Linked DNA regions of Rhinolophus ferrumequinum. The protein of the gene in region 2 purifies or fractionates together with the protein of the main gene of each other region. This does not show direct contact. Links are inferred from orthologs where the notes say so. Each region holds a gene or a part of one and is shown on either strand. Other genes may lie near its edges.

Region 1 (7,769 bases), on a different chromosome or scaffold from region 2:
ACAGAGGAAAGGAAAGCCAACAGATGCACAGACAGAACCCTGCCTCTCACCCCAGTTCTAGTCTTCTTGGCTTATTATAGTGGATGCTGTGACATGCCACCTAGTTCCTCACCACAGGCGAAGAACCTGTTCTCCAGCTCCTGGGACTATTGCTTTGCAGAAGAGAGCCACCTAGTCCATGGCATGCCCCTTCTCAGGGCAGCCTGTAGCTAGTGACTGGTTGGCATGTGGATATAAGCTCTGTCCCCCTGGCTCCAACTCAGGACAATTCTGAAGGGTTGTCCCAGCTTCAGAGATCCCAGCAGGGCTGGCTGAGCCCTTTGTTACCACCGAACCATGACTCAACATCCCCCTCTGCCCCATCCTGCTGCTGCAATAATCAGCCTGTTCCCAGTATTATCAGCAGGAGTAAGAAAAAAAATTAATTTTTTAGGTAGGAGAATGGACCATTGCAACATGGGGTGGAGCAGATGGAGGAGAGCAGGAGTCATAGAAATAGAACAGGGAGTGGCAAGAAGTCAACAGGTCCAAAGCAAGAGGGGAAAAACTTTTAAAACCTTGCCACATGAGGAACAGTTAAAGGAAGTGAAAGTATTTAGTGGAGAAGTAAACATTTATGAGAAATATGACAGCAGCCTTCACATACTGAATAGACAATCAAGTAAAAGCTGGATTAAACTCGTTCTACTGGGTCTCCCCTCTTCTGCTTTGATCCCCTACAGTCCATTCTCACACGTTTAGATCAGGTCATATTACTCTCCAGCCTAACATCGCCTAGTGGCTTTTCACTACACTGTGAAGAGAAACTGAGTGTCTTGCTATGATGTGCAAGGTCTTTCCTAATCTGGGCCTTGCCTTCCTTCCCAACTTCATCTCTTATGGCTCTTTCCTCATCCATCCTTCTAGCCACACTGGCCATCTTCTTGCTATTCCTTGAATATATCAGCTCATTGCTACCTCAGGGCCTTTGCACTTGCTGCTCTCTTTGCTTTGTCTTCTATATGTTCTTCTATGAGCTCTTCACTTGTCCCATTCCTTTTGTCTTATATCAGAGGTCATTTCCTAAGAAATCTTCTCCTGATTAGTTTCTACCTCAATGCCCTGTTTTATGTTCTTCGTAGCAATCTTTGTTCCCTGAAATGGTTTTGTATCTTTGTTTTATTATGTGATTCTGTTTCCTAATTATCTCTCTCACAAAGAATGTAAGCCTCACGTGGACAGAGATGTGTCTGTCTTGTATACAGGCTCAGCCAGCCCTGCCAGAACCTCTGAAGCTGAGATTACCCTTCAGGGTTGTCCTGAGTTGGGGCAAAGAAGCCAGGACTTACATCCCTCTGTCATAACCTCAGCACGTGATATGATTTTGGCACAGAGCAGGTGCTCAATAACTATTTGTTGAGTGAAAGAATGAATGAACACAGGCTTAAGAAGTAGCCCTAGAGTTAATGGGTGACAATTCAGAGAGCATATTTTTTTTTTTTGAAGCTGCTGTCAGCAGGCTCAGAGCCTCACCATGGAGGCCACTGCCACCCAGCAGGGAACCAGCAGGCTGGTGGCAATGTGGGGATTGGAATCAGACTAGGATCTGAGTCTTGGCTCTGCCACTTCCTGGCTGGCCACAGGCCTGGGACAAGTTCTTTGACCTTCCAAAGCCTTAGTTCCTTCATTGGTAAAGACAGGAGCATGAGTACACCACGTCATTGGGTGCTGGGTTGGTTAACCTTTTCACTGTGTTAATTCATTACAAGTTTGTTCTCCAAAATGTGTCAAAAATCCACAGAAAATAACTACAATATTTATATTTTTAAGTAATACAGTTAAGGTGCTACATTTTATTAAAATAAATGATTATTTTAAAATGCAAAAATTTCTTATTGTTATTCATTCTTGAAAAACACAAAAATATAGAAAAATGTACATCTGCTTTCCTAAACTTCCTTTCTGGAACCCTGAGCTCGTGTGGGAAAGTCGAATGCCATAGTTAGCGGCATGGAAATATCATTTGACTATAGACGAACGTCGCAGCGAAAATGTTTTAAAGCAAGTGCTGGACATTGAACAAGTGCTAAATAGGTGTTAGCTCTACAGCTTGGCTGTTTAGTTTCTGCTGCTTAAGAGATGACAGGTCCTATCTCCATTACTGGCAAGGGGCCACTGAGGCCACAGGAGCTGGGGACTCACCTAAGAAAGTGCCGCTACCGTCCCTCTTTGAACAGCCACTTGGTACCTCTTTCCCTGTCACACTCACTAACTACTAACTGCCCTCTTGGGGGGCGGGGGGGGGGAGTAAGCAGAAGTGACCTGGGTTCAGGGGTGGGAGTGGGGAGGTGAGTGATCATTCAGACTTACTTCTCAACTTCCTGTCTCTGACACAAACCAGAGCTGATCTCCTGGGGTCAGAGCCCAGTGAGGAAAAGGTGGTCATTATTTCTTCGCAGGACAGAGCTGTTACAAAATGGGTAATATTGCACACAGTACTCAAAATCTGCACTATTGTGTGAATTGGAGTGTGTTTTGTGATGAGAGAGGAGGGGAAATATTGTAGCCAGCAAGGAGCAACTGTGCAGTGGGGATGGGTGGAGGTGGGAGGGAGAAATCCCATGTGTGGAGGTGCCCGCCTTCCTCTGGTCCAGCATCTTCCTCCCTGTCTGGCTAATCCCAGGTGATGGGTTTATGCATTTTGACCCTGAGAAGAGCTAGTCACAATCACTGTACATGATGGAGGAGACATAATTGCACCACAGGTAAATACAGGTAGAGGCTATCCATGCCCATGCCCCTTCAGCCCCTTTCTGATGGTAAGAGAGCTTTCTTCTGTTCAGATAAAAATAACAGTCGACACTACCCATATAATGGAGGAAACACTTACGTAGAATGTACTGGCCTCGGTTCTTAAACAATTCATGTGCATCGCTTGTGTAATCCCATGAGGTGGCCACAATTTTTAGCCCCGATTCACAGATGAGTAAAATGTTGCCCAGCAGGGTCAGTAACTTGCACAGACTCACACCCCAGTGAGGGACAAGGCCAGGACTCTAAACCAGGATTTCTAGTTGCAGGGTCTCTGCACTTGACCAGCACTGTGAAGTGACCTATTCCTAAAGGGACGGTTTGCCTTGTGGGTACTGGGCTCCCCATCCCGGTGGGTGACAGGCATCAGTAATTAAGCCAGACGGAGGTGACAGGCATCAATTACTAAACTAGACAGAGGTCTGTTCCTTGTATCTGGTGTGTCCTCTGTGTCAGGCTCAGAGCTGAGCACTTTGCCAAAGTCATCTCATGTCATGCTCATGCCACCTCTGCCAGCTAGAACAATAATCCCACTTATGGATGAATAAACTGGGATTCGGGAGATTGTGGAACGACTGAGGTCTCTAGGCTTCTGAGGGCTGAAGCAGGGAATCTAGCACGCCTGCTCAATCCCAATCTTGAGCTCTTCACGTCTTACCAGGGATGATTTCCAAGGGATTAAACTTCAGGAGGGCAGAGGTGGACTAGTCAACTGTTACAGTGCTGGCTGATCTGAGATCCCGAGGGACTAAATGTCTGACACATAAAGGGGCAAACTCTTGAAAAGAGCTGCTGTAACTAGTTGCTAGGCCAAAAATACAAGTCATTACATTTCAGATTTTATAGTTAAGGAAATATTTCTCTTCCAAGGCTTCCTTCCAACTGTGGCCTCCTGCCCCTGTCCCAGCCCCCTGCCCTCTGTTCTATCCATCCCTGCTTGGCCTGTCAACTGGCTTTTCTGGCAAACCGAAGAAGAGAATTTCCCTGTCCCTCACCTGTCTGATGGTCCATGTCTGGATCCTTAGTTCAGGCCTCTTCTCAAGATTCCTATAATTCGAGAGCTCCTGGGAGACCTTAGTTTCCAATATGTGCATTTTACAGAGAAAACAGTGTCAGCAGACACAGGGAAATATCTCCAAGATTCTACACTGAGGCCAGAAGCTCAGTATCCCGTTTCCTGACCATCATTTTGTGGCCACAATGCTGTTGTCCTAAGGCAGTTCAGGCACTGATTCATGGAACACATTTATTGAGCACCTACTATGTGCCAGGCACTGTCCTATGCACTGGGGATAGAGCCTGAACAAAATAGATAAAACACCTGACTTCTTTGCTGTAGATGGGGCCAGCGATATGAGACCTGAAAACTGAGGACTGGATTCAGTCACGGGGACCTGGCTGGTGTGTTGATGCTGGTTCCCAGGGTTGTCAGATGGGGACCTCTGGATGAAGGCAGGTGGTGGTACTACCAGGAAAAACGGCTACTGTCTCTTCATAGCCCAAGGAGACATTGATACCACTGCAGAGAGAGCAGACCTTTTAACGGTCCACTTAACTGTCAGTGACCAGCTGTGCTACGCTGAAGTTCTGTAACCTTCAAGACTTCCGTTTTATGTTGGGGGGGGAATGGTGAACTCTCTCCGTGACAGGTCGTTGCAGGGACTGAAAGTGGTAACGCAAGTGGCCCACAGCAACGTCCACAATGCCAGTGGTCGTCTTCAGCGGGCGCGGAGGCTGGTTGGGCAACAGCGAAGGAAGTGGAGGTGGTGGCGAGGGCCAGAGGTGGGGACAGCGAGGCTGGAGGAGGAAGGAAGATGAGAAAAAGTTCCGGACGTCCTGTGGATGGAGCGGGCCAGGCGCCAAGTTGGAGGGGGCGGGGCCGGCGCGGAGGTGTTCCCGAGGCGGGGACCTTGACCCGGCGCCTATAGGCTCCCCCCAGGACACACCGGCGGGGACTTGTCTTGGGCCAGTCACTCTCCGAGCAGTGCGATTCCGCCGCAGTGATCTGTGCTCCCACCGAGTGCGCGGTGTCCTGCCTCGTCCCTGCCTGCACCTGCCGCCCAGCGCGCAGCAGCCCGGCCCCAGCATGACGGACCACGCGGCCTTCGATACAAATATCGTTACCCTGACCCGCTTCGTCATGGAGGAGGGCAGGAAGGCCCGCGGCACCGGCGAGATGACCCAGCTGCTCAACTCGCTCTGTACCGCGGTCAAAGCCATCTCCACGGCCGTGCGCAAGGCTGGCATCGCGAACCTGTGAGTCAGGCCTCAGACAGCCAAGTCTCATCCTGTCTGTCTGTCCCGCTGGGGATGTGACTGGCAGCCTGGTGCCTGGTCCTCTGGCACTCCTGCTGTCAGCCTGTCTGTGACAGCTGAGAGTCTCTCCCTTCCTCCCTTTCTCCTCTCTCTCTCTCTCTCTCTCTCTCTCTCTCTCTCACAGGTTTGCCCAACTGCACTCAAGCCTCTCTCTTAAACTTGGAGGTGCCCACCGCCTGGGGGGCCTGTCTTCCTGTCCACCCTGCCTCCATCCTGCAGCTCGCTCCCCGGGGCTTAGCAGCATGCCTTGGCATCTCTCTCAGTCTCCTGGTGAAGCTGTCTGGTGAGGTGGGTACCTGCCCGCTGGCCATACCCATCCTAGCCTCACACAAAAAGTGCTGGCGCAGTGCCTTCTTTTCTCTTTCTTTTTTTTGACCTCCTCCATTCTCTATGAAATTGGGGTTCCAGGTAGAGTTTCTAATCTAGTATGTCCTTCGGCATAAATAAATCTGTTAGGAGCCAGGGAGCTCCCAGGCAGGCTGAAAGGAAGCCTGCACTCCCAGAGCTCTCAGGAGCAGCAGTGCTCTGTGCAAAGGGTGCAGTAGGTCTGGTGGGGCCTGAGACAATGCATTTCTAAGAAGTTCTTCTGTGGTAGGTGGAACCCATGCTGCAGGTTTGCAGATCACCTTGTATGTAGCAGAGGAATCACGGGACATGGGGATTCAAAGGGCATATTCTTGTGAGGCCTTTGTAAGCAACACAAATACCCTTTGATTTATTCTGGTGTGCACAAGGGTTTTGTAGTTATTTGGTCTTCACTTTAGCTGCAGGGTACCTGGATTTTCAGGTTGCCCCTATTTTTTCCTAACATTTCCCATTCAGGGACACTATAAAAATTGCACATGATGCTTATAGCTGATCTGAAAAATTATAACCTCTGCAATCTGGCTTCCTTTACTGGTAAGTTATTTGGCTCTGGTCCCACAGCACGGGTTGATGGAGTTGACTCTTAAAGAAGGAGTGTCCAGCAGGGGGTAGGCCTGGCTGGAAGAGGCATTGAAACAGGTATGTTAGGAACCTGGTGACTCCATCACTATTTCACCTATGGCGCCTCTTAATAATACATTTCTAAGAAGCCATTGCTTTAGGAAACACACTCAGTTAAACTCTTACTTCACATTTAATTTACAACAAGTAGAGGTGGCCTCACAGCTTTGCCTGTGTCTGGGAACCAGAGGGCTTTTAAAATAAAGAGCGCTTGTCACTTCCTGTATTATTTTTAAAATGTGTCAGTACCTTTCACAACTCCAAAGAAACTTGGAAATGACAGATCTGCTTTGAGGTGTATGTTTCCCACCTTTTAAGAAACCTCAGCGCCTTAGTGGGACTGTGGGACCCTTAGTGATCGTGGGACCTGGACAAAGGGCACTAGCATTGGCGATGTAAAATACGTATCTCTGTAGACTAGATAGTTGTGAATGCCAGGTTTAAAAAATATTATTGTTGTTATCATTGTAAACTGCTTAATAAGTTGTACTCATTGATGAAAATTCAAGGCACTCAAAAGAGCACAAAGGGAAAGGTGAAACTCACCTCTATCCATTCCCTGGATAGAGGGAATGATGTAGGAATATTTTCCTGTGAGTCCCCAAAAGAAGGAGGACTATGTCTTTGTGAATCCCCAAATGATGTAGATGATGTTGGATCTGCTGGCAGTTTCTGGGTGTAGGCCGGGATCGTGTCTCATGAGAATGGAAACACAGACCCAGGAGAGGCAAAGAGTTTTAAAAAGAGGATGGTTTATTGAAAACAAAGAGTCAGAGCTCCGGAGCGGGAGGGGGACCCGAATAGGGGTGCCCCGTGACTGAGGCAAGTGCTCTTACTTTTATACCTTCCCTTGTCTGCTTGGGGAAGGGGGACTGGTGCTTTCTAATGAAATTCGTCTACCAGGTTTGCTCTGCTTGCCCAGCCTGAAGGAATTAGCAAAATAACCCTCTCTTATCTCTCAGATCTCCTCTGTTTGTCAGGCCAAAAGGAATTTTATGATTAACTTCAAGGCCTTGTTACATTTTGTCCTGGAGTGAAGGAGCGGTTTCAAAACCTGGAGTTTCAGGATATGGCTGTCTTTGTTTATTCCACCAGGGAACTCCCTGTCTACCTAGGGACATGCTAGCTTACCTGTCTCACTGCCTGAGTACTTGACTGGTTACTGAGTACTTGACTGCGTACTTGACTGGTAAGTTTATACATGGATATGTATTGACATATGTTCATATGTAAATAGCAAACAAAATGGGATCACACTTAACATATTCTTCTGCAGTTTTTTTTCATGCAACCATATATAATGACCATCCTTTAATGTCAGAACATGTAAATCCACCTCCTTTGTTTTCACTGCTGCCTAGTGTTCCACTGCACGGACATATTGCAAGCTGTTTTACTCTTCCCCTATGTTAGCACATTTCACACAGCGTGTACTCGTGGAACACGCCTGGTCATGTGGGCTGGTGGTGGGGAGGACCAGAACTCAGACACTTAAATACTTAAGCACTCCTGTGGGAAAATAAGAGTTTGGCTGTCTCAGCATGACATACAGCTGGAGTGGCAGCAATAAGACAAGATCTCAAGTCAGGGCTCCAAATTACATTCATTATTGGCTTTGATGTCCTCCATGCAAAGGCTAGCATGCCTGCAAATAGCTTGTTAGTGCTGAAGACTTC
Region 2 (7,404 bases):
CGCCAGGAGCTCCTGTGCCAGATAAATGCCCAGTAAGGCCCTGCTGGCCATACCTCCTCTCAGCTGGGGGGAGACAGCTCTGCCAGGAACTGTCTGGTTCCACTGTCTTCTCCTCCCTCTGCTTCCTGCCTAGCCCCCACCCCACCCCACCCCACATGCTCTCCCTCTCTGCTCCGAAGAGCTGCTCTCACCTGTAGGAAGCTGACTGAGTCGGCCTCAGGGACCCGACTGAGGTTGTGGCGGGCCTGGCTTAGCCTGCTGCGCTGTTCCTCCTGCTTCCGCAGGTCGCCCTGGGAGCGGCCCAGCATGGTGGCCTCCCCCTCATCGATGAAGCCCAGCACCTCCTCCTGGAACCCTTGCAGGGTGGCTGCAGCCTCCGCAAACAGCCTGCTCACCCTCTCCCGTTCTGCCACGGCTGCGCTCTGCACAGGACGACAGTGGGGACAGCAGTGAGGGCAAAGAACATCACTGTTTGGGCCCCATCCTTCCCAGACCCCACTTTCCCAATCTGCCCTGTTGGGGAGACAGAGAGTCCAGCTCGAGCTGCCCTGGGTCTATGTCAAGTCAGGGGAGAGGCTCAGGCTCAGTGGGCCGGGCAATGCCCTGAGCACAGGCTTCCTTGGACTGGACTGGATCACGACACTGCCAGGAGCCTATGGCAGGAGGGGGCAGGGTTAGGGTGTGGTCTGCCCCCGATGAGGGCCACTGTACTGACCTTGATGAGGCCACTGTACTGACCTTTCTGAGGGCCACTGTACTGACCTTGATGAGGGCCACCGTACGCCGGGACTGTGCAATGCGGGCGCCCAGCTCGTCCATGCGTTCCTCCACAGCACTCAGAACTTTGGGCTGCTCAGCCTGTGGATGACACCCTTCATGAGGACAGGGTCTGGCAGAGGCTACAGCCCTGCACTGGGGTCCCAGGCCTCACCAAGGGGTGGGAGAGAGTGAGCCAGGAATGGTATCTATGCACAGGTGGGACTGGGAGTGGCCATGATGTCCCCATTATGCCAGCGGTTCCTCAAGCCCAGGCTGGTGCCATTCCCAAATGCCCAGAGAGAATGCAGGCTGGCTGTGGGTTGTCCACCTCCCTTCTCTGACCAGTGGACCAGTACAGGGCCATCCACGGTCCTCAGTGTTGCTCACATTCATCTGGGAACTTCCATCAGAAGGGAAGAGGCACAGAATGAGAGGGGCTGCACAAGAGGCAATCAGCTGATCTGGGGATCTCTGTCCCCAAAGACTCTGTGCCCCCAATCCAGGCTTGAAAAATGGGGATTCCGGGCAAACCCCCTGGGTCTTATGAGTCACCGCTCCAGGCAGGAGAGACGGAAAATCCCAAGGCTGAGGCGCCAAGACTGGGCGGGAGGCCAAAGGAAACTGGGGGAGGAGGCAGCCCGCCCAACTGCGCGCATATGCTCTAACCACGGCCCCCCGGAACAGCTGGACAGAGCGGTCTGTGTGCTCAGCCGCGCTCAAGTGGCCTGCCACACCCATCTAAACCGCCTGCCTCAGGCCTGGGCACATCTGAGCTGGGACCCGCATGAGCCCGGCAGGCGCATCAGCCACGCTGCAAGTACCAGACGCCCAAGATCCTGGCTCCTTGCTGCCTTAGATCCGCACCGCCCGCTGGGGCTTCAGGTCCCTTGCCCGCCCTTCGGGTCCTTTTTGTGTTCTCACTGGGTCCCCCTAACCCCCTATCCCATCTTAAGCGGAATGACATTGTCAGGGCTGGAAGGGACAGGAATGATCCTCAAGTTAGAGGAGGAAGTTAAGACCCAACCCGGGAAGGTCCATGACCCTGGGCGGGCTCGAGCGGCGTGTCACCCGCCCCGGCCGGCCCGCACTCCCTGAGCCCTACCTCCTGGAGCGTGCGCTCCTGCTCCAGCGATACCAGCTCGTGGCCCCGGTGCTCCTGGGCAGCGCAGGCCTCGCACAGGCACACGCGCTCCGCACGGCAGTAGCGCTCGAGCGGCCGCAGGTGGCGTGGGCACAGGCTCTCCTCCAGCCGACGCAGCGGCGGCACCAGGCGATGGCCGCGTAACGCGGGACTGCGCTCGTGCGGGCCCAGGTGCGCGGGGCAGAAGGAGGCGAGGCAGGAGAGGCAGGAGAGCGCAGCGGGCAGCGCGGCACCCTCGGGGCACGCGTCGCAGCGCACCGGCTCTTCACCCGCCGGCCACGGCTCGGGTGCGCAGGGAGCCGACGGCTCCGGGGCGCTGGGCGGAGCGCTGGGCGCTGCGGGCTCGGGAGCCGGGGACGGGGCCCGGGCCGAGCCGGGCCCGGGCCCGGGCCCGGAGCCCTGGCGGAGCTGCAGCAGCTCGGACAGCGTGTGGTTCTTGCGGAGCTGCAGGCCGTCGGGGAAGGGCTCCTGGCACAGCGGGCAGCGGGCCGCGCCTCCGGGCCCGCCGGCGCCACCCGCGCCGCGGTGCGGCCAGAGCGTGCCCAGGCAGGCGAGGCAGAAGTTGTGGCCGCAGGGCAGCGTCACCGGCTCCCGCAGCGACTCCAGGCAGATGGGGCAGCTGAAGGGTCCGCTGCCGTCCATGGCTCCGCGGCCACCCGGGCACCGCCTGTTCTGCTCCCGCCTGGGCGGGACCCGGAGCGTTCCCACCACGGCGCCGCCCCCTGGGACCGAGGCCAAGGGTCCGGCCTCCGTCTGTCCACGGCTCGGACCGCCCCCCCAGCGCCACAGGCCTGCCCGGCGGTCCCGACACCCGGCCCCAGCTCAGTCCGTTCCGGGCCTCCTCTGGGCCCCGCCGGATTCCGAGCGGCTCCTGGGCGATGGTCCCTCCTGGGTCAGCGGGTGTGAGGGGAGGGCTCTGCTGAAAGGGGTGTGAGAGAGGGAGGAAGGCAGAGAATGCGAAGGAGGACACACTGGAAGGACCGTGGGACGGAGTTCATCCCTCTGTTACCCCTCCAACCCTCCCCCACCCATGGCCAGGCCTGGGGATCCCAAGGCCACTGTGTCAAGCCAGTACCTTCGTCCTGCAGACTTCTCTGCGCCGTTAGAAAAGCTCCTGAGCTGCTGAGTGCAGAGAAAAATAACTGCTGATGTAGGCATGTGTTTGCCCCTTAGCACTCTGTTTACCCCGAGTGGGGAACTTGGACTTTTCTAAACCTGAAACGGGAAGTTGATGTCACCCTCCAAGTCTCTGGTCCGAGGAGTTCAGTTCCAGGCCGTGCACCCTCATGGGCACCTATGGTGTGCCTGGCGCCCGGGGTGGAGGTTGCCTCAGTGGAGGCATTTGTTAAGACTCATCTTACTATGCACTTAAAAAGCTGCATTTTAATCCGTTAGTCCATGCTGATCTAAATAAGTGACTGGATAAATAAATACTGGAGGAGAATAGACACATTTCCCATTCAGAAAAATTGCAAATAATTTTTGTAGATACTCCGAGGTGGCAGATAACCTCCCACTCTTTAAGTGTGTGGGCTGTGCATAGTAACTTTCTTCCAAAGGGAGCAACAGAGTAACTTTACAGGGGAGAAATCTGACAAATACTACCTCAGCCAGGTGACCGAGGTCAACATCAACAATGGTATGTCCTATTGGTAGTAAGCTCCCTTGAGATGATGTGGTCTTCCTCCTCAAAAACCCATAAACCCATTCCAATTATGACTAAAACATCAGACCGATCCCAGTGGAGGAACAGTCTATAAAACACCTGACCAGTACCTCTGGACACTGTCAAGGTCATCAAAAGCAAGGAAAACCTGAGAAACTCACAGCCAAGAGAAGACTAAGGAGACATGACGACTAAATGTGATGTGTATCCTGGATGGGCTCCTGACAAAGGACATTAAGGAAAAAAGTAAGGAAATTTGAATAAATTACGGAATATACTTACTGAGAATGTATCAATATTGGCTCTTTAATTGTGACAAGCAAGTATACCACATTCATGTACAGTGTTAACAAAAGGGGAAACTGGGAGTGAGGTATATGGAAACTCTGATTATCTTTGCAACTTTTCTATAAATATATAACTATTCTAAAATTAAAACTTTATTTTAAGAATATAGAATAATGGAGGCAAATCTTCCTATCCTGAGGACCACGGACCTCCCGCTGATGAGACCCCAAAGTGGAAAGAATAAAAGGGTGATCCATCTAGAGTTGGGGCTTTACCTTTCTCACCGGGACGCTTCTTGAAGCCTGGTGCAGCCTACAGAAAGAACCCTTTTCAAAGTAATGCTTTTCAATGCATAAAATTAAATGTATAAAATTCCATGGAAACCAATTACATTGAAACACAGGTACAAAATATTAAGGAAACAACTTTGTGATAAAGTGATATATGTGTTTCTTTAACACAATAAATAACAAGATCTGATGGGGGCCTAACAGTAACTGTATTTTTTAAACAGTGATGAACATACATGTTATTTCAAGTTCTCTGTCACCACTGCCACATGCTATGAAAATATCTGTAATTTCTATTGATGACAAGTCACCGGTATTGCTAACACCACTGTGATGTGTCCTCTCCATTCATAATAGAAAGAAATGCTAAATTTCAGCTAGAGAACCATGAAAATGAAGCCAGAATCCAACCCCTACCCCCACCTCCAGAACTCCAGGTTAAGAATGTCTAATTTAGAAAGATGCTATGCAGAGCCTCCTGACATCCTCCCTGGAAGGAGGAAAGAAAACTAAGATCTATTAAGTATTAAAAGAGGTGCAGTCTATTCCTGGGGGATTTGTGGGAAAGGAGGAGAGGAATTTTGGAGGCCCTCGTGGAGGAAGTGGCATGTGAGCTGGGCTTTCGCAGACTGCTAGGACTTAGGCATGCAGAATTGAGGGTGGGAAAGATCTTCGGGCAGAAGGAGTAGCAGAGGGAGATGGCCTGGGTGTGCCTGCTTTGGCAGGAAGGCGGATAATGACTTCCATACGTTGGTTTCCACAAGGAGTACTTGATCATGACCATCCCTTTTGTACCAAGACCCAGTAACAGTTCAGAGGCTCAGGCAAGGGCGCCACCCTACTCCTCAGCTTGGAAGCCAGGCTGCCTGGGCTTGCTGCGACCACAAACCAGCCTGATTCTGGAGGGGGAGGGGTGCCTTTCAGATTAGGGGCTTCTCGGGGAAGTCCCAGCCAACCCTCTGCTTCCCACCTCACATCCTGTTCAGGAAGATCTGCTCCCACAGGAAAGATTGCAATTCATCAGAATGGTGGCATTTTGATAGTTCATGTCCATTATCATAGCTTTAAAGTTGTTCCCATTAATTCTTTTTTAAATGAATTGGGTCTCGAGGGGTTAGCGTAACTGGCATTTCTGAGTTCTGCTGGAGCATGTTCATGCTTGCATCTCACTCTGCCCTTGCAAGGACTGTGTTGTGAAGGGTAGGAAATGGAATTCCGACAGGTCTCATATCTTGCCGGAGGTCACATAACTAGTCCTGCAGAGGAGGAAGAATTTAAACCCAGAAAGTGCAACCTGAAAATAATCCTAAACCTCATATATGACCCTGTCTGACTGCAGTTTTGCTTAATTAAGACAAAAAGTTATACAGAAACAAAAACAAACAAGCAAAAGCACTCCAGCCAATGAGAGTAATTGACAAGCCATCAAAGCTTTGCTTGCATCTCTGAAAGACACTGAAACAGGACCTGAGCCGTAACCCACGGCAGCACTTCTTTTTCTTTATGCTTTTATTTATTTATTTTTTTCTTTATTTTTTTTTTATGCTTTTAATGTACTTTTAAAAATTGGATTTGTATTTATTTCAAAATATTTAGAGTATTTAAAAAGTAAACAATTTAATGGCTTACAGTAATATAAACTGACAGTCCCGTGTCCCACCTACTCCAGATTGTTGCTCCCACAGACAACCAGTCTCAGCTCTTAACTGTTTCTATCAGCTGTTATCTCCACATCTCTAAAGCATGTGCTCAGGAGCTTTGAACCTCTGTGTGGATGTTGTGCTTGTATTTCTGGAGATTTAGATTCTTTATCAACTCTCTTTTGTGTTGAATTCTATTGCTTGGTTCCTGGGTCTTCTTTCCCTTCACTGATTTACTTCTTAATTTTTGAAAAGCCCTTTTTCTGGGAACTTCTGGAGAATGGATGTGGACGTGCCTGCAAAAGTCTTTGTTCAGGCTTCATCCTTGATTGACAGCTTTGGCTGGGTATGGGATTCTAGAATGGAAATCCTTTTCCCACAGAATCTCAAAGGCCTGGCTCCATTGTCTTCTAGCTTCCATTCCCATGTTACTTGAAACCATGTTTCCTGCAGTTGCCAGGCTGCTCCCTTCCTTCCTTTCCTGCCTGGGAAAGAGTAGCCTCTCCTCTCCACCCTCAACTCTGGCCTCCAACCCAGCTCCCACCAACCTAAGGCCCTTTTCTTTTAAAATCTCTCCTGGTCTCCCCTATCCTTGCTCTGTGTGCCCATTCTCACAGAAGCCCAGAAAATGGGGGTTGGGGGGCCAGAAATGCTGGGAATACCCACAGGCTATTCAAATGGTACACTCTGAAGTCCATACCTTTTCCTTCTATATCAATGCATTTTTTCCTGGAGAGGAGATGGAGAATTCTGTCAGAATCAAGTGGGCTGAGTGAATTTAATGTGAAGTACCTTTCTGAGAGATTTGTAACTGCTTGTCCCCCCACCTAGAGAAGCATTGTTCCATTGCACATGCCATAAAATGGCAGTAGCATCTCATCATATGAAATAAAGGTTAATAGTCACAATACAGAACATGCCACAGAACAACATGCAAAGGACCAACAACTTGAAAAAAAGTAAATTCATAGAATAAATGACCCAAAACGCTTCTCACCATGGACACAGAAAGGGGGCCAGTCTTCCTTTCTCTGTCCCTTTCAGAGCGTGGGCTCAGCCAGCTGGACACACATTGGGTCTTTGGGATCAGGAGGGATGGTTGGAATCTGTATGCTGGGGCAGCCAGCGATGATGGCCAGCTGGCTAGCCCAATCCTGCTTCCTGCCCCGCTGGGCTTTTGGCTCCTGCCCTTGACCCAGCTGTTCAGCTAGGTCCCGACCATCTCCTATCACTCGGCTGGGCTGCCCAGTGTTAGACCCCCTTCTCATGTTTGGGGAAGTCCTCACCTTAGGAATCTCACTGGAAGCTGCTTGCCCAGGCTGCATCAGTCAGAGGCCTGGCCCTCTCCTTGAACAGAGAGCCACACTACAGAGGAGCAAGGCCACAAGATGGAGTTTGCAACTGTGGCAGTGACCGAGGCCAGGCTGCAGTGTGGGAGGGAGATATATTTTTCACAGATTTAAAAATATTTTGTATTTTTTTGAGTATGTGTTTTTGCATGTTATCCTTCAAAAAACTTTCTATGCGAAATACATGTATATACATGAGTATATAAAACCTGTACGTATGAGTGTATAAAACCGGTATGTACAGTATAAAAAGTTATAAAGCAAACACCCT
Region 3 (7,721 bases), on a different chromosome or scaffold from region 2:
CAAACTAAAATATAAACAGATACAATCCGTGTTAAAATACACACACACACACGTAAAAAAAAATTTGCTGACTGCAGCATTCAACCATGTTATTTCTCAAACATATACTACGGTAGCTAGCCAAACTTTACCAGTCTTAATATACCTAGCCCATAATGACTTCACTGATGTGAAAAATGTTTAATTATATTAAATAAAAAAATGTCTTAAGCAACTTCCATGGGCAGTTCATTATAGTTTTGATGCAGAATTGTTCTAACTTGCAAGTTAAAAGTAATCATCACTACATGATTGGATGTTTAATCAGATATATGGGAATTACACATCAGAACAGAACTGTGACATCAGGCAAGGAATGTTACTTTGTGCTTCAAATTATTTGCTAGCAAAGGAAACATTAAATCCATAAAGTTAACATCTATGATTAGAAAACAGACCGTAGGGTGGGTCACTATCTTCCTAGTCAGTATTCTAATGTGTATTATAGAAATACAATCTTTGGCAAAGGCCAGTTAGGTAAAAATATAAAACTATAAAAGTGAGGTTGTTCTAGTTAGAGTTGGGGAGCAAGCCCTGCTGGACTTCTGAGAGCTCTGGAACCGGTAAGACTCAGTAGTGTTTAAATAAATAAATCCGCTGACATTTCAGAGCTCTTTGCATCTAAAAAGTGGTTGTTTAAAATCCCAACTTGCAAGTTTGAAAGGATTAAGCCTTTTTTTCAAAACAATTTTTTAGATTTCTAATCTTTTAATGTCAAAATAATTTACTTTGGGAAAAGAATACCTATCACCCACAGATTTTTTTTTTACACCTCCCATACTCTTCCAATAATTTCTTAAAAGGCATTCGGCTCATTATTCCAATTAGCAGAAAACAGGATTGGGGGTGAGGGCGGTGCATACATTTCCTGGCTTGGACAGCAGGAGTTGTGACCTCTGTGGATTTGTTAAGTACCATGAGTTGCTTGAGGAAAAGGAAAAATACCTCAGGTAGTGAAATTTTCAAAACGTATCTAAAACTGCAGTTGGTAGAAGGCTCTCCACAGTCAGTTCTCTTTCAATAAATTATTTCAAATCTACAAACAGAACAAAACCATACTTCAACGAAACTAACATCAAGAACTTTTACCCACACATTTACACGGTTAAAAAGACCAGGCGAAGAAATCAGTGTGATTTTACTTCAATGGATTTGTTCGATGCCTTAATAATGAATGAATTGGAGGCATCACTGGCTTGAGTTCTCAAGGAGTCTCACTCTCAGTTCTGCCCCCTATAAAATCTGAAGCAAATTCTACACAATTTGCTATTTCGAGGCTAAGTCCGGTCCAAAGGAAGCCTCCCCCCTTCTTTCTCCCGGTCGCCCTCCCAGGGGTTGGAGAGCAGGGAGGCGCGGCCCGGAGGGTGGGGGCGCCGGGAGCCCACTCCCCTCCCGGGAAAAGTTCCACCGGCCGCTCTAGGGCCAGGCCGGCCTGCGGCCCTCGTCCGCGTCGCCGCCACCAACACCCAACCCGGCGCAGGCGGCCAGAGGGTCGCGCCCCCTCCCCGCGCCGCCGCACAAACACCCCGCCCCCGCCTCCCCGCCACCGCCCTCGCGGAGCGTTAACCCCTAGCCGTCCGTCGCCCGGCTCCGGGGAGGAGGCCGGGCCAGGGGGTGGAGTTGTCGCGTCTCCTCCCGGGAGCGCTCGGGCAGACGCCTGGCTTGTTTACAGGCCCCAGGCCCCAGGCCTGGCCGCCACTGCCGCCGCGCAGGCCCGCGCCGGCCGCCCGCCCTCGGCCCATGCGTCGCGCTTACCCGGAGCAGCCGCGGGCGGGCAGGTCCCTGGTCGGCCGAGGCGGCGGCGGCGACGGCGGCCGGGGAGGGGGCGGGAAAGGGGTCACCACGGCTGCGGCCGGCCAGGTCAGGCAGGGGAGGGGGCGGACGAGGGGAGGAGCCGGGCTGCGTCCGGGCCCCCGCTCTCGGCGCCCTCGCGGCTCAGATCATCCAGGCGTTGGAACAGGAGGCGGAGAGCGGGTCCCGGAGGAGAAGGAGGAAGAGCCAAAGATTCATTGCTTTCGCGCCCCACCTGCCTGGAGCCCCCCCACCCCCCCTCCCCAACCACCCGCTCCTGAGCTGCAGCCGCCCGAGCACCCGAAGCTGCGGGCCCCGCCGGCGCCGAGACCACTGCTCCCTCGCTCCCGCGCGCGCTCCCGCCCCTAGCAGCGCCGCCGCCGCCGCCGCCTCGAGCGCGTCCCCGCGCAGGCGCGCCCACGAAGGCGCCGTGCTGCCCCACCCCCACTCCTCCGCCCGCCCCACCCCGCCCCTCCGGGTTCGCCGCCGCTACAGCTGAGGCGCGACGGAGCAGCAGGAGAGACCCGGATGTCGTTGGGCAGGAACTGCGGCGAGTGGCGGCTGGCGGGGGAGGAGCGGCCGCAGATGACGCCACTGCCCTACCCAGCTTTTCTCGTCTCGGCAGCCTAGCGGCCGGGGCCCCAGGCCGAAGCCGAAGGGAGCATCCAAATCCCGGATCGGAACCGCGACTGGGACCTTGAGCCCCGGCGCCGGGAGCTGGACAGTGTGCGACTGTTAGGATCCCGGGGAATGGAGAGCTCTCCAACCCCTGCAGTCTACCGAGCCAGGGCTCGGAAGCACCCCCTAGGGCGTCCGCGTCTCTTGTCCCGGCGCTGCCACCTGTCTACAAATACACACCCAATCCCCGCGGAGACGCTTTCCACAGAGCCCCGAGGACCGACCCAGTTCTTTCCACTTCTCTCGGGCACAGTCGCGGACTGTTCGCCTCCTGGCTGCTGCAGCTCAAACGCGCGCTGGGTCCCAGGCCGCCGCCAGACCCCCTCCCCCAGGGCCCCTACGGTTCCAGAGCCATTCTCCCCCAGTGACCTCGGGAGGACCACTCAAGTGCCCCAGCCACACACCTCGCGTCCCGAAGGGCAGCAACACACGCAGCCTGCCGCCGCCCACCTACATACACGCACAGGGCACATGCTGAATTCCTGGCAGGTTTTCTGTGTAGCTGTAGCTCGTGGCATCCCACATTGTATTTATTTTCACTTGTTACAGTCACATGATTCTGTCACAGGGGACCTCCAACGACCTCCAGTGAGGTTAAAGGAACGGAGGATTTTTCAAAATCTGTGGGATAATCAGAAACATTAACAGCTACTTGTATGAAAAGTTAGAGATCAACTAAACCTAATTGAAACTGCACGTGCAGGAGGCCAAAATCCAGTTTAGCTAGCTAGACTACGGAAAACCCGACCCACGCGGTTTGCAGACGCCGGGGATAGAATGACAAACGCTAGCAGGCCAATGAATCAGAACTGGGGAGCAGTACATCACCAGCACGGGTTCCCATTGGCTGGGGTGCCTTTCCCTTGTCAAAGGCTTAACCTGTTCATGGATTTGACCTACACCACATTTGCAGGAACGTAACTTAAAAGAAAAATCCGTGTTAAAAAAAAATTTATCTGGTATACACTAAGGAAAAACACATACTTCATTGTAGGAGGCAGGTACTTTAAAAAGAACACAGGAAAATATTAGCCAAATTGTGTTCTGACAAATAAAAAGCTAAATTTATGATAAGGCCTCTCCATTTTATCTCAGGAACTTACTGTAGCAAATTATACCCTGCTACTTTGTATCTCCTAAAACCACTCTGTTGCCCCAGCTCTTAGATCAAAAGCATCCTATTTATTCTGTCTTTCTGCCACCAGCAAACATTTAGCTGCTTTTAAATTTGTAGAAGCCATCTCCAGTTTCTTCAACATGACATTCTTGGGAAGATTCTGTTCCTTTCATTTTTAGCCCTGGGACCTAACAAACTACCACCAAAAGGTCACTGGCAGGCCAAAATCTTCAAGGAACTCAAAACAATCACTCTACCCAATAATATATTTGGGTTAGAATTTCTTCCAGTAAGATGAAGATAGATCATTTTGAGATATACAAAGTAAAAACAAAATTCACTTCTGCATTTGGTCCCAGTATCATGTGAGGACACATTTCCTAATTACTTCTGTACACACGTGCCAAAAAAAAAAAAAAAAAGGAACATTATTAGATCAAAGATCTTTGAAACTCTGCCTTATTGGAATCCTTAATACTTCAGACAAGTAGCAGCATGATTAGCATGCTAGTGGACTCATTACCATTCCAAAATAGAAAAGCCCATGTGGCAAACACTATTTGGAGTGTCTTAGAAAACAAAATTTCTTATTCGTAAGGCAGAACTAGGGTTGCCAATGGCAGTAGTGGTGTTGATCTTGAAGGTCTTGCCTGGCTTTCTGCTTCCTTCTATTAGGCACCCATACCTTTCTTCTCTCTGCTCTATACTTGTAGAAGAATCTGGGTCAATTGTAGCAGAAGAGGTAGAAAAATAGAAAATATGAAAGTAAAGAGATTTTTAAGGAGTCTGCACAGTGTACCACAGACTACTGATAAAGTTACACCTTCCTCTCTTTCTTATTTCTGGATACAGCTTGCAGGGACATTTTGGTATAAAGTAGGAAACTCAGAGATTATAAGATTAACATTTTAAAATTGGGGACAAATATTTTTAATGGTGTCTGGATAAATAAGCCCGATATTATAATATCCCCTTCTTTATTGCTATACTAAATATTTTTTCTCTAAATATTATAATAAATACTCCCTAAATAATATACTAAGGGCAAAAAACTTAACTATGTAGAGAGGGGGAAAAGGACATCGAAAAAGAGAGCTAAAAGTTTTCTTTTCTTTTTGAACTACAAGGCTTTGCTTTGGCCTACACATGTTAGCAATGTTCTTAGTTTTTATGAAACATCAGTGGAATGTGCTGCCATAATTGTTTTTAATAATTTTTATAGGTATATTCTAAAACTATCTTACTCTGGTTTGGACACCTGTTGGTATTTCAATTACCAAAGAGAAAGATGATTTTCTGAAAGATTGGCTTTCAAGTCCTAAATTTAACTGTACGCTATTAGCCTAGTAATTGGGAGGAGTGGGATGAGGATTGGAACTGCAGTGAGAAGTCTAAAGCTTAGTCCATCAGTAATACTCACTCCTCTTTTCTTCCACAATCATGATTTAAAGAAAAGGTTAACATTCCTGATTCCCGAATTACTACTCTGAATCCACCCAAGAGAGTTACCCCTGAGACAGTCTTGCTTACACCTCTCAAAAGAAATCTCAGCAATTTAAGTGATCCCTCAGGAGAATACCTGAGACTCCCCCTAACCTGAGCCATTCAATCCTTTCACACTGAAGCCAGTCATTACCCAAGAGTTATAAAGCCAAGCAGAACATAGATTCGGCCCCGTCTTCCTCCTCCTCCATCATTACCTATTTCATGTTTTTTTCTCACCAACATCCTCTTCCTCCGTCCTCTTCTCCCTTTTCTTTTAATCACTCTTCGTTCTTTCCTCTGGTCTCTTTTCATCTTCTTTACCCTTTTCCCCATTCTTCTTTTCTCTCTTTTCCTTAGCTTAACCCAAATTACAGTTTCTGCTACCTACTTTCTCTTGAAGCAATACATATGAGTGGATAATGCCCTTAAACTAATTTTGTTGTGGGGGGGGTGTATCCCCCCCACCTCAGTCCTCATTCCCCCCCCCACACACACACCATATCAAGTCATGAAAAACTTAGCTGTCTAAAGGACTGTCACAGAATGAAAAGGATTAGAGAATCCTGTCCTATGTGACATCACTAAGGCAGCCCCATTAGGATGGGGCAGAAGAAAGTCAGCAGTCTTCTGCTGCCATTCGGGCTCACGCTGTTCCCTGAGAGAAATGTGGGTCACCACGAGCATCACAGGCCAAGCCTTGGAGAGTCTTTAGGGTAGACTCTTGCCTCAAGAGAACTGTATATGGCCACAGCCTTAATGTTGGTATGGTTCTTATCAAACAAGTTCATCTGTTCAACAGAGAGTTATATTGGGTGCCAGGTACTGTGCTGGGTGCTGAAGGTAGATAATGACACCAGTAGGGAAAGGCCCAGCATTATAATATCATGTATGTTATAATGAGGGCTACAGACAAAGAAATAAACAAATAAGGAAATTGCTGATTGTGATCAGTGTTGTAAACGAAATAAATAAGGAACTAGATCAGGGAGATGACCTGAAACAAATGTTCAGAGGAGACCTTTCTAAGAAGATAGCATTTGAGGTGAAGGATGAGAGTCAGCTTTGCGAAGAATCAGAGGAGAGCTTTCCAGGCAAAGCAATCAGCACAAGTTTGATGTGGGAAAGAGCCTGTCTATAGACCAAAGAATTGTCTATAGAATTGTCTATAGACCAAAGAGAAGTTCAACAAACTCGAGGCAAATATTTTATAAAGTCGCTCAAGTTTAGAATTCCAACTTAGGATATTTGGGATACTTAATCCAGTTTACAATTAGGAAACCACCTTGAGCAGAAGGGCACAACCCATTCAAAATAACATAGTGAATTGGTCTGGCCCAAAAAGCAAAGCAGCTTGAAAAATAAAAATTAAAAATGAAAGGACCATTATGTAACTACTGAAGTTAAGAAGCATTCCACCACTCCATTGTTCTCTTCAGACAATCCAACAGCAGCTAGAGTTGAGTAAACTATGAGCTTTGAAAAAAATGTGCCCCCCCCCCAATATAGATAGCTGTTCTTAATGAGTAAAGACTAGCAATAGTTTGGACTTCTTGAGAACATATTTTTTTCTGGGTGTTTACTGTCTAATGGGGGTATCAAAGAATATCTCAAACTAAACCACACTTTTGAAAGTTGCAACACATTTTGCATCCTTAACAATGGTGGTCTGGTTGAAAACCAATGATGAAATGACCATCATCATAAAGGCTTTTTTCTATATCTCGCTCTGCACTGCCACATAGGCCAACCGATTTAATACAACAACTCTTGTGGGTAGACAGGGCAAGGACTGTTGTTCTCAACTTTAACAGAAGAGAAAACTCAGTGTCAGAGGGCTAGCAACTATCCAGAATCACCAAAAGTAATGACACGTTCTCCCCTGTATTCTGCTGATCATTCCTAACTCTTACATGCCAGTAAAAAAGCAGCAAAGAGAGTCAAGGAGTGGAAAGTGCATGTTGTGGTGTATGAAGCTTGCTTGTACTAGCTCATGAGAACAGACTTAAATTTTTAGGAATTTGTCAGCTATTTGTTATACACAGCCATTATTAAAAAATTAAATCATGTAAACTTCCAATTAAATAGTTAATCACCAAAACAGATCCTTTGCCTACAGAAAAGCTGCCATGGTCAGATATGAACTGATCTTATCCTTTAAATATTTGAGGGATTTGTTCAGTACTTAAATTTACTTTTAATCTTTATCTTGATTGTTACTTTTAAGAAAGAACAGTAAAAGCAATAATTTATGGTAAAAGCAATAACTGAATAATGAAATCATTTTAAGCTTAGAGCAATTAAATACAGAGATATTAATATGCATTTTATTTTCTTGCAGGAACTAGACAAACTAGAGCTCCATCAGAGAAAAAAGGTAACAAAATCCCTTTGTCTTTTGCTGAGTACAATGAGAACCAATTTATGGGAATTATAGAGAAGATAATTTTATTTATTTATTTATTCATTCATTCATTCATTCATTTGAGAAAAAAGTTCTCCAGTGATTTTTTTTTTCAATTGCAGTTGACATTCAATATTATTTTAGATTAATTTCAGGTGTGCAACATAGTGATTACACATTTATGTAATTTAAGAGTGATCCCCCTGACTA

What was found.
Region 1: the proteins of TRIM47 (region 2) and FBP1 purify together in Homo sapiens (affinity purification with western blotting; 3 studies listed by BioGRID). This does not show direct contact. The link is inferred for Rhinolophus ferrumequinum from reciprocal best matches to the Homo sapiens genes TRIM47 and FBP1.
Region 3: the proteins of TRIM47 (region 2) and PPM1A purify together in Homo sapiens (affinity purification with western blotting; 3 studies listed by BioGRID, with this or other methods). This does not show direct contact. The link is inferred for Rhinolophus ferrumequinum from reciprocal best matches to the Homo sapiens genes TRIM47 and PPM1A.

Annotation. Positions count from the first base shown.
Region 1 is NC_046295.1:7,046,302-7,054,070, reverse strand, and holds the start of FBP1 (fructose-1,6-bisphosphatase 1), read left to right. Parts: upstream 1-4,703; 5' UTR 4,704-4,876; coding exon 4,877-5,046; intron 5,047-7,769. UniProt on the Homo sapiens protein: Catalyzes the hydrolysis of fructose 1,6-bisphosphate to fructose 6-phosphate in the presence of divalent cations, acting as a rate-limiting enzyme in gluconeogenesis. Plays a role in regulating glucose sensing and insulin secretion of pancreatic beta-cells.
Region 2 is NC_046304.1:50,720,931-50,728,334, forward strand, and holds the start of TRIM47 (E3 ubiquitin-protein ligase TRIM47), read right to left. Parts: upstream 3,003-7,404; 5' UTR 2,976-3,002; intron 2,870-2,975; exon of another isoform or gene 2,820-2,869; 5' UTR 2,543-2,819; coding exon 1,862-2,542; intron 859-1,861; coding exon 763-858; intron 423-762; coding exon 192-422; intron 13-191; coding exon 1-12. UniProt on the Homo sapiens protein: E3 ubiquitin-protein ligase that mediates the ubiquitination and proteasomal degradation of CYLD.
Region 3 is NC_046289.1:34,559,845-34,567,565, forward strand, and holds the start of PPM1A (protein phosphatase 1A), read right to left. Parts: upstream 3,031-7,721; 5' UTR 2,913-3,030; intron 2,195-2,912; exon of another isoform or gene 1,795-2,194; intron 1,076-1,794; exon of another isoform or gene 985-1,075; intron 1-984. UniProt on the Homo sapiens protein: Enzyme with a broad specificity. Negatively regulates TGF-beta signaling through dephosphorylating SMAD2 and SMAD3, resulting in their dissociation from SMAD4, nuclear export of the SMADs and termination of the TGF-beta-mediated signaling.